2 linked regions of the Struthio camelus genome follow. The protein of the gene in region 2 binds, or shares a complex with, the protein of the main gene of each other region. Links are inferred from orthologs where the notes say so. Each region holds a gene or a part of one and is shown on either strand. Other genes may lie near its edges.

Region 1 (7,084 bases), on a different chromosome or scaffold from region 2:
ACCATGGAAAACGCTCCAGCTTTCTCCAGTCTTTTCTCCACTCACTTCTTGCAAGTTATTTCCACTGGGGGTAGGGAAGGGTGGGGAGAACAACTCTTATTTTAGGCAACTTCTTCCTAGTCACTCAAATACAAAGACTCATGTAGAGGCAAATATCTGACTTCTCTCACTGGTCTTTTAACCCCGAAGAAAATGGCAAGATGTGTCCCTCTGTATATTTTAGGTATAAACTCACGCGAGCCCAAAGTCCAGTTTCACATCAGCAAGATAAATTTATAGGGAAAATTATAGCGGCCCAGCCCTGCAACAGCAAATAAAGCCTTGTATGCTCTGAAACTTATTTTGAGTATATACCCACGCTTCCAGAGCCTCTCTGCCTTTTCCTCTATTGCTGCCATAAATGGTTATATACAACATCAAAATAGCCTAAAGACTTTGTGCCACGTTTTTAATATAATCAAGACAAGAGGTTCCTTGCAAGCACACAGGAGCACTATATAAGCCATATTTGGGGCTCGTGCGGAGAAGTACAGGAAAAGGCATGATTTAGGGCAGTCATGATCCCGACAATTTAAGCCGACCTGTGCTTCCTCTCCCAGTTGCCGCACCGCTAAATCCGGCTAATCCAGGTTACGTTTGGACACGCAAATTACAAGTGCTCGTCAGCGCCCTGACTTACAGGTTGCGGTAAGCACCTGAGAGGACAGTTTACGTCCAGAAGACGTGGCGCTAGCCCGGTGGGCGTCCATCCACCTGCAGGCGTGGGCGCTCCTCATCACCATCACGCGGCTCATCTCAGAAGGCAGCGAACGCTCTGGAGAAGAGGGGACTATTGCGCTCCAGCACAGCCTCATGACTTGTCGCAGCGAAACGAGTCACCTTTTTCCCTCAGTGATCACGGCACAAAGCAGTTACGGGAGCTGAAAACAATGTCATGGGTACCGCCGACCACGGGAGGTCAATACTGAACGCCGCTTCAGGCAAGTGGCCTGCCTTATCCCTAAGTAAAACTGAACGGAGGAACTTGAGGAATGAGAGGTTAGATTGAAGCCGGGGGGTGGGGGGGGGAAGTTAATTCAAGGCTTTGACAGGTTTCCTGTACGTTTTCCGGTAGGCAGCAGAGATTCAGGACTCGGTCCGCCTACAGCCGAAGGGTCTCGGTAGGCCAGGGGAGAGCCGGCGGCTCCATCTAGCAGCTCAGGCGCAAGAACTGCCACCTCTGAGCCGTGTCGCTGTCCCCCCCCGCCCCGAAACATCACAGGACATCGCCCACAGCTGCTGAAGGCTCCTTCACACACAGCCCGACCACGCGTCCCTGCCTGCGCAGAGGGCACCGGGGGGGCTGTCCGTCCGTCCGTCCGTCCGTCCGTCCGTCCGTCCGTTCCCCCCCCAGCGAAGCGCTTCCCCCTCCTTCTCGGGTCCCGCTCCTCTACTCCCCGCCGCTCTTTATTAAACTCAACGCAGCGGCGATTCGCCTTAAAAGGGCAAAATATCTGTGGCGAAAGCTCGGGCTGGGGGGGGGGGGAGGGCGAGGCGAGGCCAGGCCAGGCCAGGCCAGGCCAGGCCAGGCCGCCGCCATCTCCCCCTCCCCCCGCCCAGGAGCAGGCGGCCGTTGCTAGGAGACGGCGGGGACCCGCCATGGCGGTTGGGCCAGGCCGCGGCCCGCGCACCTGCCTGAGGCGAGGAGGCGGCGGCGGCGGCGCGCTCCGCCTCGGCCGCACCTGGGCGAAGCCAAAGGCCGCCTGCACCTGCCATTGAGCCGCCATCGCCGGCTCTTGACGAACCAACCCCCCCCCTCCCTTTTGGGCTACTCCTGCCACTATATCATTTAAAAAAAAAAAAAAGGAAAAAAAAAAACCCATATAGTCCCATACACCGACCCGCTCCCCAGAGGGACACACGAGGAGGACAGACCGAAGGACCCTCCTCTGAAGGACCCTTTCCGAGCCGAGCAGGCTCCTTCCCTCCTGTTCCCCAGCAGGGGGTGGGGGGACACACAAAAACCGGCCAGCCCTAAACAGCAGGCGGGTTTGGGCTTGACGAGGCCCCTCTCTTCCAGCCTGCGACTACGTCGAGCGAGGGATTTCAACTGGGGGGGGGGGGGGACAACCGCCCGGCCGCGACTTTCCGCCCCCTCGCTCGCCTTTGACGGGACGGGGGAGGCTCCCCGGCGGCCGCCGCCTTCCTCCCTTCCCTTCCCGAAGTCCAGAAGCTCCGGTCCCAACCAACCTCCTCCCCCCCCCCCACCTCCCCGACCAAAAACTCTCCGAGGTGCCCGCCTGCCTCGACGCAAACTTGTCGCCGAGGGAAGGAAGGGGATTTGGGGTGCGGGGGGGGGGGGCGGTTGTCCCCTCCACCTCAGCACCCACTCGCGAGCTTGGCCCGACCCCCCCCCCACATCCCACCAGCCAAACACACCCCCAACTCACACCTCGCAACTTTCCCACCCTCGGGAACGCAGCAACAACTTGCCCCCCCCCCCCCCAAAAAAAAACTCTCTTGGTTGGGGCGGGGTGGGGGGGGGGAAGGCAGCAGCAATGCGGCTGCCCAGGAAGGGGAAGGGGTTGGTTTTGGGGAGGGGGGGGTCTGCCCTCCGGCATGCCGCACGCCGCGGGGGGGGGGGGGCAGCGCCCGCCCGAGCGGCTCTGCCGGCGCTCCGCTCCCCAGAGGCAGAGGGGCTCTCGCTCCCGCAGGGCTGCGACCCGCCGCTTACTGTGGGCTCTTGGGGTAGAAGGGCAGGGTGACGTGGCTGAGGTCCTGGATGTCGAAGGCGGTGGGCTCGGCTGAAATCGCCTGCCTCTTGGTCCTCTGCTCCCCCTGCAAGGTGCCGGCGCTTTGCTGCTGCGCCTGCTGCGTGGCGGGCCGGATCACGGAGCGGTACTTGTCCAGCTCGTTCTGCAGCTTCTGGATCAGTTCGTCCTTCTGGTCCAACTCCAGCTCCAGCTCGTCGATGAGCGCATCCCGCTGCCGCAGCTCCTCGATCTTCTCCTGCAGCGCGTACTGTAAATCCCGCAAAGTGCCCATGCTCCTGGCCGCTGCCGCCGCTGCCCGGCTCGCCCCTCGCCTCTCCCGGCAACTTTCCCCCCCCCCCCCCGCCGGCTGCCTCCCCGCACTTGGGCCAACTTCCCCGCCGCCGCCGCCGCCGCCGGGGCGCTGCCTCCGGCCCCGGGCCCGCTCCGCCCCGGGGCAGCCGGACCCCCGCCGCACCGCGCTCCGCAGCCCGGCTCCTCAGGGGTGATTTCGATCTGCCTGCGTCAGGCTAGACTGGAGAGGGAGCGAGACGCACACACACACACACACACATTACACACACACCACACACACACGGAGGAGGAGGAGGAGGGAGGGAAGGCACGGAGGAAGGGGCGTCTGCAAGGATGCACATGCACTTTCGCCGCGCCGCCGCTCCCTCCTTTCCCCCTCCCTCCCCAAAAGGCGGCCGCCGGCTCCCAACGCCCCGCACGGCCCGGCTCCCCCCCCACCACCCCCGAGGGGGGCGAGCGGGGCGCGAACCCGCGGCCCTCCGCTCCCCGCCCGCGGCTGCGCGCCCCCCGGCCGGGGGCTCCCCGCGGCACTGCTAGGGGCTCCGGCCGGGCTTCTCCCTCTGAAACCCCCGGGGAGCGGGGGGGGGGGGGGAGGCTCACGGGCAGCCCCGTGGGCGCCCACAAGCTCCCCTCGGCTGCGAGCAGGAGCCGGCTGCAGAGGTCCCGGGGCCAGGGGCCTGGGCCAAGGGCAGCGTTTGCAAACCCTCCGCTCCCACGCTGCGCCGGCTGGAGGGCGGCGAACCCGTCCCCACACTGGGAGAAGGCTGCAAAAATCGCCCCTCGCGCTCCCAAGCATCCCGCGCCCCGCTGTCGGGGCTGTGCCCTGCTCTTCTCCCGTCCCACCGTCTCCTTGAACCAAAAGTGCTACTTGTTCCTACAGAACCTGCCCACCTTATCGCGTGCTTAGGATTTCTTTACAGCCCGTTTTCACTGTCTTCTGTAACAGAAAGCACGAGCCAGCACCGGGCAACGGCATGGCTCCTGCTCAGCCTGAGCTTTGGGCTCCAATCCCTCAGGTCTTAAGGTAAATATCGGTCAAGTATGTCTTCGCTGGAAAAAATCTGGAGGCAGTGCTTATGGGTCCCATAGCACTAAAAAAGCACATTAAAATATGGGTGCACTTTCTGTGTAGCCCCAATACCTATATGGAGGTGTAAAGTAGATTCTGCTGCACCAGACACGTCAGGATTTTCCAGGAATGCGAGCACGGTGCATCGCGCTCCAGGACTTTCCACGTGCTAAGCCACGGTGGCACTTTGGGTCTACCTATGCAATACTGTTTATGGGTTTGCGGCACAAAAATAACAAAACAAAACAAATGAGCCGGATCAGCCGAGCCTTCGGTGCCAAATGGCTCTGTTTTCTTTTTCTTGCCTGCCTTTTGCTAGCACAGAAAAAGGACGATGATGTATGCTGTGACAGATACAGCTCCCGGACTTGGCCCCCTTGGACGCAGAGAGGGATCTGTGGGCAAAAAGTATGGCTGGGTTTGGTCTCCCGAGAAGACTGTATGGTTTGGAGGAGATGGGGTAGAAATCCCCCCCCCCCCCCGCCCAGCCAGATGTAGGTGCCCCCAAGAGCTTTTGCAGTGCTCAGCCGCCAGAGCAGCATGCTTGGATGTTTCCAAGGCGCCAGAAGCAGCTGTTCCCGTTCCCTTTCTGGGAGTTGGATTTGGGGAGGATGTAGTGATGGATACATTTTTTTTTGGAGGTGGGTGGTAGCTGCACATTTGTATCTGCCATTGGCAGGGCTGTCCAGACCTCCAACTTGGGCATTAGTTGGAAATGAGAGACAGCGTTTATGGGTTTTGCTTTTGTTTTTCTCCTGTTACACACTGGCGCTCGGCTGAGTCCAGAGTTCCAGCTTTCAACCTGCAGATGGTCTTTATAAAATTAAAAAAAAAAAAAAAACAACGAACAGATGAGGAATTACAACTACTCCCCTATTCAAAGCGGTTGTCTGCAAGGGCCTGGATTCTTCTAATAAATCTTGCATGAGACTTTGCAGGTTCTGCAATGTGTTTGGTACCTCCTGCATTTTTCAAGGGGCACGTGAAAAAACAGATTTGGCTTATGTAAAATGCTTCAGTTTTAAGTCTTCTTGATGCATTTGGTAGGCACAAACTCAAAGTTCAGTGGTCTTTTCCATGGGCTGACAACGCGCTTTAAGTTCAGACTTTTTTTTTTTTTTGGGTGGGGGGTGCTATATATTTCCTCCATTTACATCTTACATAACTCACTAGGAGCAAAAGTACTAAATATCCTCTGAACATTTCCATTTTAAGGCAGCAAAGCCGTATTACTTAGTTTCTATTAGAGGTGCGCAGCCTGGGACTGAGACAACAGTAACATCAGAAAGGACTCGGAGAAAAACATCACAAATGCTGCTTGACAGAGGCGTAGGCTGTCAGGGCTGACGTGTTTGATGAGGCATCGTATGCTTAGGATGCTCTCTTACAAGTATTTCTCCACAGTGGTTATAGAAACTCGCATATCTGCTCTTTAGTGTATCCCTGAGATTGCTGCCGCTGGCTTTACGGGAAATAAAACTGGCCGGGAACTCGGCTAATGATAGCTAAAGAAAATATTTATTTACAGGTGGAAAGCCCATTCTCCTGGTCTCATAAGACCTCCGAGAGCCAAAGAGAGATTTTACGTGACAGTCGGAGATTTGTGGTGAGCAGCCGTAAATCCAAGGCCAGCCTTCAAGATGAGACCAAGGAAGCCGAAAGGTCTACAACCTGTCAGCAGAGCCCTGTCCTGTGAAGGCTGCAGACGGCTGCCTGGTTTTGGTTGTTTACTGCTCTTCCGAAGAAACCAGCAGACGAGTGGGGTTGGGGGACCGCAGCTGCCCGTGCGGCTCACGCTTCAGGGCTTTCGGGGTATCGGCCGCCTTGCAGTCTCAGCAGCACGGAGATCCCGCTGCCCCAGTCCGATCAAAATAAATCCTCTGATCCCGTTCTTTTCAACTTAAAGTTCCCAGCAAAACACTCGGGTTTTCAGAGCAGCTGCTTTGTCTTCTCAATCGAGCGTACGGAAAGAAAAAAGCTTTACATGGACGCGTGGCAGGAACGCAACGAAGGGCCTTGGTCCGGGGACGACAACACGAAGCCGGCTTGTAGTTTGTTACGGGAGCCAGCAGCCAAACTTCCTCCAGGTCCCAAAGCCTCTTTCTGATCGGACCACTGCAATACTGTGTCTCACCCGGCCCCGATGTCAGTAAGCAGCAGACTGGAAAAACCAAACCAAACCAAACAAAAAAAAATCCTACAGAGGGCTTGAGCTCTACCCCAAAACACCGCCGGGGCTTGCTTGCTACTGGCAATCACGGGCTTCCCCACGAAACATCAGTGTTTCTTCTTCTCCTCTGCCCGCACAGGTTCTGATACACTCACAATATTTCCTCCGCGCACAGCTTCTGGGTTTTAATAGCTTGGCTTCTAAACCTTTCAAGGATCATCTGTCACCAAACGCACCCACTCAGCTGCCATCTTCGACGCTCAAAACATGTTTGAAGGCTCCCTATTCCGAAAACATCGCGCGGAGCTCGCCAATCAAAACTCAGGTATGAAGCTGGATCGCTGACAGGCAAACGTCACGTTGCCAGAGCCAGCCAGGACAGCAAGGAAGGAGAAGCTAGGGGTGCATGACGGAGTACATACATAAACATTTCCCTCCTCCTGGACGTGCCTTTTTTTTTTTTTTTTCCCTGCCTAATTCATTGCAATCCATTCCTTACGCCTTCCCCAAAATGTCTACAGGAGCAGACCGGCCTGCAGCAGAAAGCAAAAGTTGAACTGTTTGGCTTTTGCAGCGGATTTCCCTGCTTGTCTTAGCTTTGTGCGGATTCGGGAAGAATTGGCAGGTATAGCACCCACGTGACTTTAGCCGCTGCTGGGAACAGAGACACTTGCAAAGCAGAGTACGTTGCCTATATGCTTACTCAGAGTAACACCTTTACGATGTGAGGCCGACTAAAAATACAGAAAGACATACTGAAAGGTAGCACGCACATAAGCTGAACTCTTGCAAAAAGCATGC
Region 2 (7,242 bases):
TCACTGTGGTTTATTGCTCAATTAGACTAACAATTGTGTATGTATTGTTTCAGAAATCGGAGCAGCACTTTATCAAAGTCTTTTTCACTATTTATATTAGTTAGGTAAGACTAGAATAGAATCTCAAATTGTACTCAACTACTCAGAAAAATCTACAGATAGGAAAGATTACAGTGAAAGTTTAATTTTGTTTCTTTTTTTTTTTTAAGAAAAAAAATCAAATTCTTAACAGTGGAGGAGAAGGAAAAGCCAACATAAAGGACTACTGTGGTATAAGCCATTGCCATGCATATGATGAAGCATCCACAAATTAACAGATACCACTAACATTTCAAGACTATCAACTGAGAACCCACAGAGGCAGATAAGTCCAAGTGTTCGAAGCAAACGGGATTGGGTCCTTAATGTTTCTGGTTTAGGCCTAGTAAGCTGACATTTCTTGAATGCGTTCACTGACTCCCCAGATTTTGGTGAGAGTCAGGTGCTTAAAACACTTTGCTAAAACCAAACTTTATAACAAGATTACCTGATCAAAAATTTGGCTTTACAGGCTTGGTCCAAAGTTGCTCTTAACTAAGAGATTTTTTTTCTAACGATTTCAATGCTTTGGATAGGACTCTAGCATGAGGTATCTATTTTTACAGGTGCAGCTAACTTTTTAAAAACTGAAACGAAAAATTGTTTCCCATCCTTATTTTAAAAGATAGGAGGTTTCCTCCCTAAGGGCTATGACAAAAGAATCATAAGCATTCCATCAAAACAGCCCAAGAGGAAGTGCTCCATGCAAAAGATCATCCAGCAAATAATCACTCTTCTGGGGCTGCAGAAGGAAACACTGTCCTTTTCAAAGCTTCTGATTTAGCAAATCTAGAAGGGGCTCTTGGCATACATGCACACAACATGGAAAGACAAATACAGCACAGTTTGGGTGACAGAGCAAAAAGGCAGTTGGCTCCTGACAACCATGGTAAGGGCCATACAGCAAGCAGAATAGCCCAGAAAAGTTCATTAACTCCTTAGTTGAACACTAGGTCAACAGTAGAGCGAAATTCAGAAACTTCTCAGACACCAACACTGTTTACAGCGCACGGAAGATGACAACGGCACAGGGAATCACAGGCACGCTGTCTCGAACATTAGATTTTTTTCCTTTCTCACCCTCGCATGCTTTCAGTCGGAAGTAGCTAAGAATTGTGTGAAGTATTGACAGGGTTATGTACTGCTAATTTCACGCACATGTACGTACACTTTGGAGATTACATTTAAAAAAATATAAACTTGGTATGTTTATCTACCACTTGATCTTGTTTTCCACTTACTGCTACCTTTCATGTCCAGGAGCCTGCTATCTGCAGACAAACTGTCATTTGATGAACGGGTAGATTAAAGAGGAGAAACGTACTTTCACAGAGAAAGTATTTTTCTTCCTAATGCTTAGAATGTAGCAGATTCTCCAACAGTTTGCAGTCTAAATAGACAAGACGGAGAACGTGAAAGAGGGGAAGGAGGAAGCAGCACAGTGCTATGACTTACTCAAGGTCATGCAGGAGGTTAGACTCAGAGCCTGGATTAGGATCCACGTCTCCTGAATCCTCATCCACCACTCCATACTGCCTCTCCTCTCTCAGGAGGGAGTTCAGCCCTATTGCACTTCCAATCAAGCATATTCTTCTCTTTCATTGAAAGAGGTTAGAGGAGGCAAGTAAATTCATACAGCGAGATGGTGGCTAAGTTAATTATGTTCTATTCCTACTGCATGCCACGTCACAGATAAACTCATTTTTTATAGTTACCCTACAAATGATGAAGTTATTCAGAAGTGACTAGTAGGTGCAATAAAAGTCAGCTTAAAAAAAAAAAAGAGGAGAGAGAAAAGACATAAAGCAACTCATTTTGTTAACTTAAACCTGAATGAATACTTAATACAAATAAGCAAACATCCGTGACATCCTTTTCTCCTCAGAAAGGATGCACACATTTCTTGATTTGTCCAATGCAACCAGATAGGAAAATAGTCACGCCAAACTTACAGAAAGTTAAAGTTGAAAAGAAAACACCCATAATTGCGCTAAGCAGAAGTTACACTTTGACAGACATATCTTATACAGCAGCCATTACATTGATATAATAAACGCAACTAACAGATCCTCATTGATAGATATTTGAAGAAAGCCAAAAAAACTACTGGGGGCACGCTGTCAGGAAGAAAAAAAAAATTTTTTTTTTAAAGTTTCAGACCAAGTACGACCTGATAGCAAATTTTCAATTCTATTAAAACTAAGAAGCACTTCAGTAAGTATCAACTTCTGAAAGTTGATACTTATTGGCTCTCACCCTGAGGGGAGAAAGCAGCTTAGACGCCAGCCTCTGGACGAGGCCCCTACAAGCACACTGTTTTCCAGAATATTTCTGTTAGAAGGAGAGTGTAGGAACATGCCAAAAGAACCCGGGCCGCCAATGTCATGGGGAATGAGAGCAAGCTTGGTTTATAATATCTACTGGAGTTTGGCCAAAGAAGAAAAGTGGCCAGGGAAGAAGAACGTACAGAACAGTCCCAATTTCATTTTGCATGGCCATATATCTACTGAGGCTTCAGCACAGAATGCTCTATCTCCTACAGCCTCTTTTGTCAGGTATGAGCCCCCCTGCTACCTCACAAGATGCAAGCTCTTCAGCAAATGCAATACTCCCTAAATTTACCAAAGCATTTTCCTTTTGTCTGTCAGTCTCATTAGCCCTCTGTTCATCTCCCTCTGACTACCTGCCCAATACTTGCATCCTTCCCATGCCCTATACTCCCCAGTTCTTCCTTTGCCAATACTTCACCTTGGTGGGGGTTCTCTGGCCTCCATGGCAGTGTTTGAGCCTTGTGCTGAGACTGGACTCGGCTGAATGGCTCCTGGTAGCTTCAGGTCCCTGCCAGTAATGAAATTAATGCTTTTCCCCTACTAGCAGGTCTCTTCTGTTGAAGGCTTGCAAGTCCTCTCTCGTCCTCCAGCTACAGCAACCCTTACGAGGGTTAGCTCACTGGTCTTCCTTCCTAGATACCTCAGCAGGCATCTAGGTCTGCAGTGAAAAACCTAAATGCCTGTGAGAGGCAGCCAAAGAGGAGGAGCCACTACCACCACGTGATTAGCACGTGTGGAGAACCACTGGTGGCCAGGGGACCTACTTTGAGCCCTACTGATCTAAAAAAAGCCCAATCAAGTTGGGCTCCTTTACAGATGAAGCCTCCAGGTTCCAGACTGACTTGTACATGTTGGTCCCCCAACAGTAATTTTCTAGAATGCAAACATGAGTCATTCTTCTGAAGCAAAGGTTCAAAATACTGCACCAGCTTAGCTCACAAAGAACATCAGCAACTGAATCTGCTTAACCCTTACATACGGAGGAGTGACCAAGGACTGTTGAGTTATTTTAACCATAAGATGAGTTAAGTTTTCAATTAACCCTTTAGACCAAGGATCATTAGCCAAACCTGAAAGGGTTAGGTATCTGTCTTTGTGTCCATGAATCTCCTGTTGGAATGGGATAGAAAGGACATATCTGGACATCACACTCACGCAATCAGTGCTTTTTTCCTCAGAACTTCTTGGTAGATTTCTGAAGAAGAAGATAGGATGTGCCAGGGTAGAGAAGAATTTTTATTTTGTTATTTTATTTTATTACAAAACCTTCATCCTAAATTGCTACTAAAGAATTCCTGGAACAAACAAACAAATAAATAAAAATCAACCAACCAACCAGAAAAAGCTAGTCTTCTGGCAGTGGCCGTTTTTTGACCTACTTTGGTCAGACACACTTCTTATCCACATATGCACAGAGATTACCGTCTTCTAACTCCAGACATCTTGCACAAGACAGGGATGATGAGAGAGAGAACTGCTTATGTATACATTATTACATCTGGATTCAATATTCAGACTTCTTTCCCTGTAACTTAGTAGCAGATTACTCCAAAAGAAGAATTATCATCTAATGTCCTAATCCAGAAAGTTGCTTCATTCGGCCCTCAGTCTGCTCAGAGCTATTTACTATTCTTTGCTACTCTGTTCAGTAGAATGATCAATGAGGTATAAACACTAAGCTTTCTGCAATGCTCCTTATATTAGCATTTGGCATACGAGGATATAGTTTTATCTCTGCAAACTGTAAATCAGCAAAATAACCTGCAGTTCCAAGCTCATCACTAAGACATTTTTCTCTCTAGAGCAGTTGACTTGCCCAGATCTGAACTGACATTTTATTCTCAATACAACAGTGTGAGGAAGGAAAAATAAGTTCTGATGCAAGTTTTGATAGGCTTAACCAAAACCACAGCTATGAAAATGAAACTTTGAGTTCAGAATCCACAGCTGAATTTTGCAGCTTTCCTCCAGTTTGAATTACAATTCCTGTAGTTTTCATTTTACCTTAATTTTTTCCCAAATGAATTTAGTCTCTTAAAACATAACAGCATAGAAGACTTGGAATTGTAATTTCTCAACGGGTACAGACCAAGCAAGAACAACATACTTCCTGTTGCTGCCTCTGCCAGTCTAACAAGTAGTTGCAGCACACTGAAAAGATAGCTCCAACACCATACCCCAGTTATAGCTCATCATCTGTGCCAAGACTGAGAACCAGGCAATAACTGCTGTAGTGCTTTTGCAGCGTCCATTGGGAACAGAAATAAGAATGGAATATCAGGCCAGATCAAAGCTCGCCTTGTTTGGCACCCTGCCTCCTACAGCAGCCAGTGTGAGATGCATAACGGAAGAGCACAGGAATCCGCGTAAAAAGCTGAGGGAAGGGTCCTGCTATAACCTCCCTTGATAAAACACCCATTTTGAGTAACCGTGGACAAAGGTAGATAGGATCTGACTTAGCAGCCCATGTACCATCCGCTGACTTTTCAGGTCTTCCATTTCATAGCACTCAGTAAATCAGTATCTGTGTGTACCTACACCACAGCATAGGCTGCTATATAAAACTGCTCAAGGGTTTTTAACCCATCTTCTGTATTATTACACAAAAAACAGGCAGAAAAATGCTTCAGACTACTGCAGTAGTGAATGTGCTATCTCAGCAGCAGAAGCAATTGATTTGGAACATTCCGCAAGGCAGAATGTTCTGAATTTTCTGAAACCAGATTAATACCACGGGCACACTGTGACAGAAGTGTTACATTTATGTAACTTTCCCCTAGCACACCATTTTCTACCTCTAAACCCCTTGGCTCCCTTTAAGCTTCTTTGGTGAGGCTGTCTTCTCTCACACTCACCCACAGAAAAGCAAGCAGCTAGTCTATCAGATACTACAGAACCACTACCTTCATTCCACCTCCCACAAGATCTTGAGATTCCTTCTGCCTTAAAGCATAATCCTACTATAACTATCTTATATTTATGGGATAATAATGTCTCAAAGACTCCCAATATGCTTTGCAGCTTGACACATCAAACATTCCTATGGAGTATACAATGCACTCAAGAATTACTATGCACAGTATCACAGGGGAATAGCACAGCTGACCAAATCACCAGAATGGACTATGCCTGCTCTTGAGGCTGCTTCATCTAAAGGACAGGACTAGGGCTCAAGATATCTAGGTCCTGTTTCAAGTCTGCTTTATAGCACTGAAAAAGAAGCTTCACCTCAGTATTGTCTGTCTTGAGCAAGCCTCTCTTCTGATATATTGCCACGTTACAGAAAGCAGTTGAAAGGAATTCCTGCCTCCACCAAGGACTTCCAGATCTACTCTAGACCACACAGGCTGGAAATTGACTGGGAACCTGGACTAGTACCCTTCCTCTCACACACACATAAGACTATAGCAGTTGGAAACTCGGCTTTACACTTCCTCCAAAAATCTGTGGGTGACTACCTTCTCACTCTGCCATGTTGTAACATAGATTCAGAATTAGCTTTACAAGGTAACTGAAACCACACAGCAGTATTACTTCACTCTTTGTCAGGATCGCTCTAAATGGCAACCACACTTGCAAGGAGCTAGGAGTTGAGATTCAGCTTCTTCACCTGGACTCTTCCATTTTCTAGTCTATCCCACACAAACAGATTTGTTGAGGTGACCTGAGAGGATAAAAAGACAGTGCCATAATACAAGCCATTACACCTCTTGTTTATAACCAGAGACCATAACTATTATTTCTACCTCGCTCCACTTTATTTATCAGTCCCAGTATATTTCCTCCATTTAGCTGTTCTTGCCTAGACTTGTAGCTCCAACATTTGTTGCTGAAGACCTACACTCACAACATGCTTGCTTCTTCAGTGTCATTCATTAAGCCCTCTTCCACCCTCCAACAATGGTATTCATGACTAGCTATCGTTGAAAAATATACTATTACCCACAGTTAAGCTCCACCCCAAGACTGCAAAGGCAAATGAAAGTTGCTCTTGCCGTTTATTTCCCAATTTGTGAACCTCTATAAAAGAGGAAACCGGATTGCTCTCTATGTCAAGAATTAATGAATGCTGCACAAGCAACAGATGGGGGTGAGGGAACGCTCATCTAAGCAAACACTTTAATCTCAGACCGGATGAAGGAATTTTAAGACAAGAAACGTGTTACTGACAAACAAAAAATTACTTTAAAAACACATTAGAAATAATCGGCTCAGTGGAGAGCTTACTTCACAGTGCTCCTGCAACAGCTTGTTTTGCAAAACAATGGAACTGTGTTTTTCATTTCCACAATTACTTGTTTTGGTTTATACATATTGATTGCTACACATTCACAGCATTTCAAGTCACTGTTTTTTATAGCAGTTAGCTTTCACATTGGCTCTGACAGGAAGCATACCTTTCAGTGTGTACTGTTACGCCAGAATTTTTGCTCCGATCAATAACACCAATGATCTCCAGTCCTCGAGCAGCTAGCACTGGGTAATCAACACTTTGCTATAATCACTACAGCGTGCAATACTGTCATGTTTCAGGCACCGAGTTTACTCTTGTAAACTCATGCTGAGTATTCAGAACCTAGAATATTTGCTCTGCGTGGAAATTAGTTTAAAGCAGAGGCCTACCAAAAAAGCAAACAAAATAACCCAGAGGCTAACAGCCCATTAACTTGGCTGCAGAGAAACTTCTGCGGGACAGAAACTGATATAAGCTTCATCTTACACCCCTCATCCAGGCAACTGAGCCCTGTCAGGAAACCATTCAGATGTGGACCTTTGGACTAGGCTCCGAGTCAGTGAGTCTTTTGGGTCAACAGGTTTTGGAAGCCCTGGGATA

Evidence for each region.
Region 1: ITPR1 (region 2) and PRKG1 share a complex: the UniProt entries of both Homo sapiens proteins name them as parts of the cGMP kinase signaling complex. The link is inferred for Struthio camelus from reciprocal best matches to the Homo sapiens genes ITPR1 and PRKG1.

Annotation. Positions count from the first base shown.
Region 1 is NC_090948.1:42,921,860-42,928,943, forward strand, and holds the start of PRKG1 (cGMP-dependent protein kinase 1), read right to left. Parts: upstream 3,089-7,084; 5' UTR 3,025-3,088; coding exon 2,714-3,024; intron 2,447-2,713; exon of another isoform or gene 2,432-2,446; intron 1-2,431. UniProt on the Homo sapiens protein: Serine/threonine protein kinase that acts as a key mediator of the nitric oxide (NO)/cGMP signaling pathway. GMP binding activates PRKG1, which phosphorylates serines and threonines on many cellular proteins.
Region 2 is NC_090955.1:2,742,909-2,750,150, forward strand, and holds the start of ITPR1 (inositol 1,4,5-trisphosphate-gated calcium channel ITPR1), read right to left. Parts: upstream 3,047-7,242; 5' UTR 2,853-3,046; coding exon 2,827-2,852; intron 1-2,826. UniProt on the Homo sapiens protein: Inositol 1,4,5-trisphosphate-gated calcium channel that, upon inositol 1,4,5-trisphosphate binding, mediates calcium release from the endoplasmic reticulum (ER).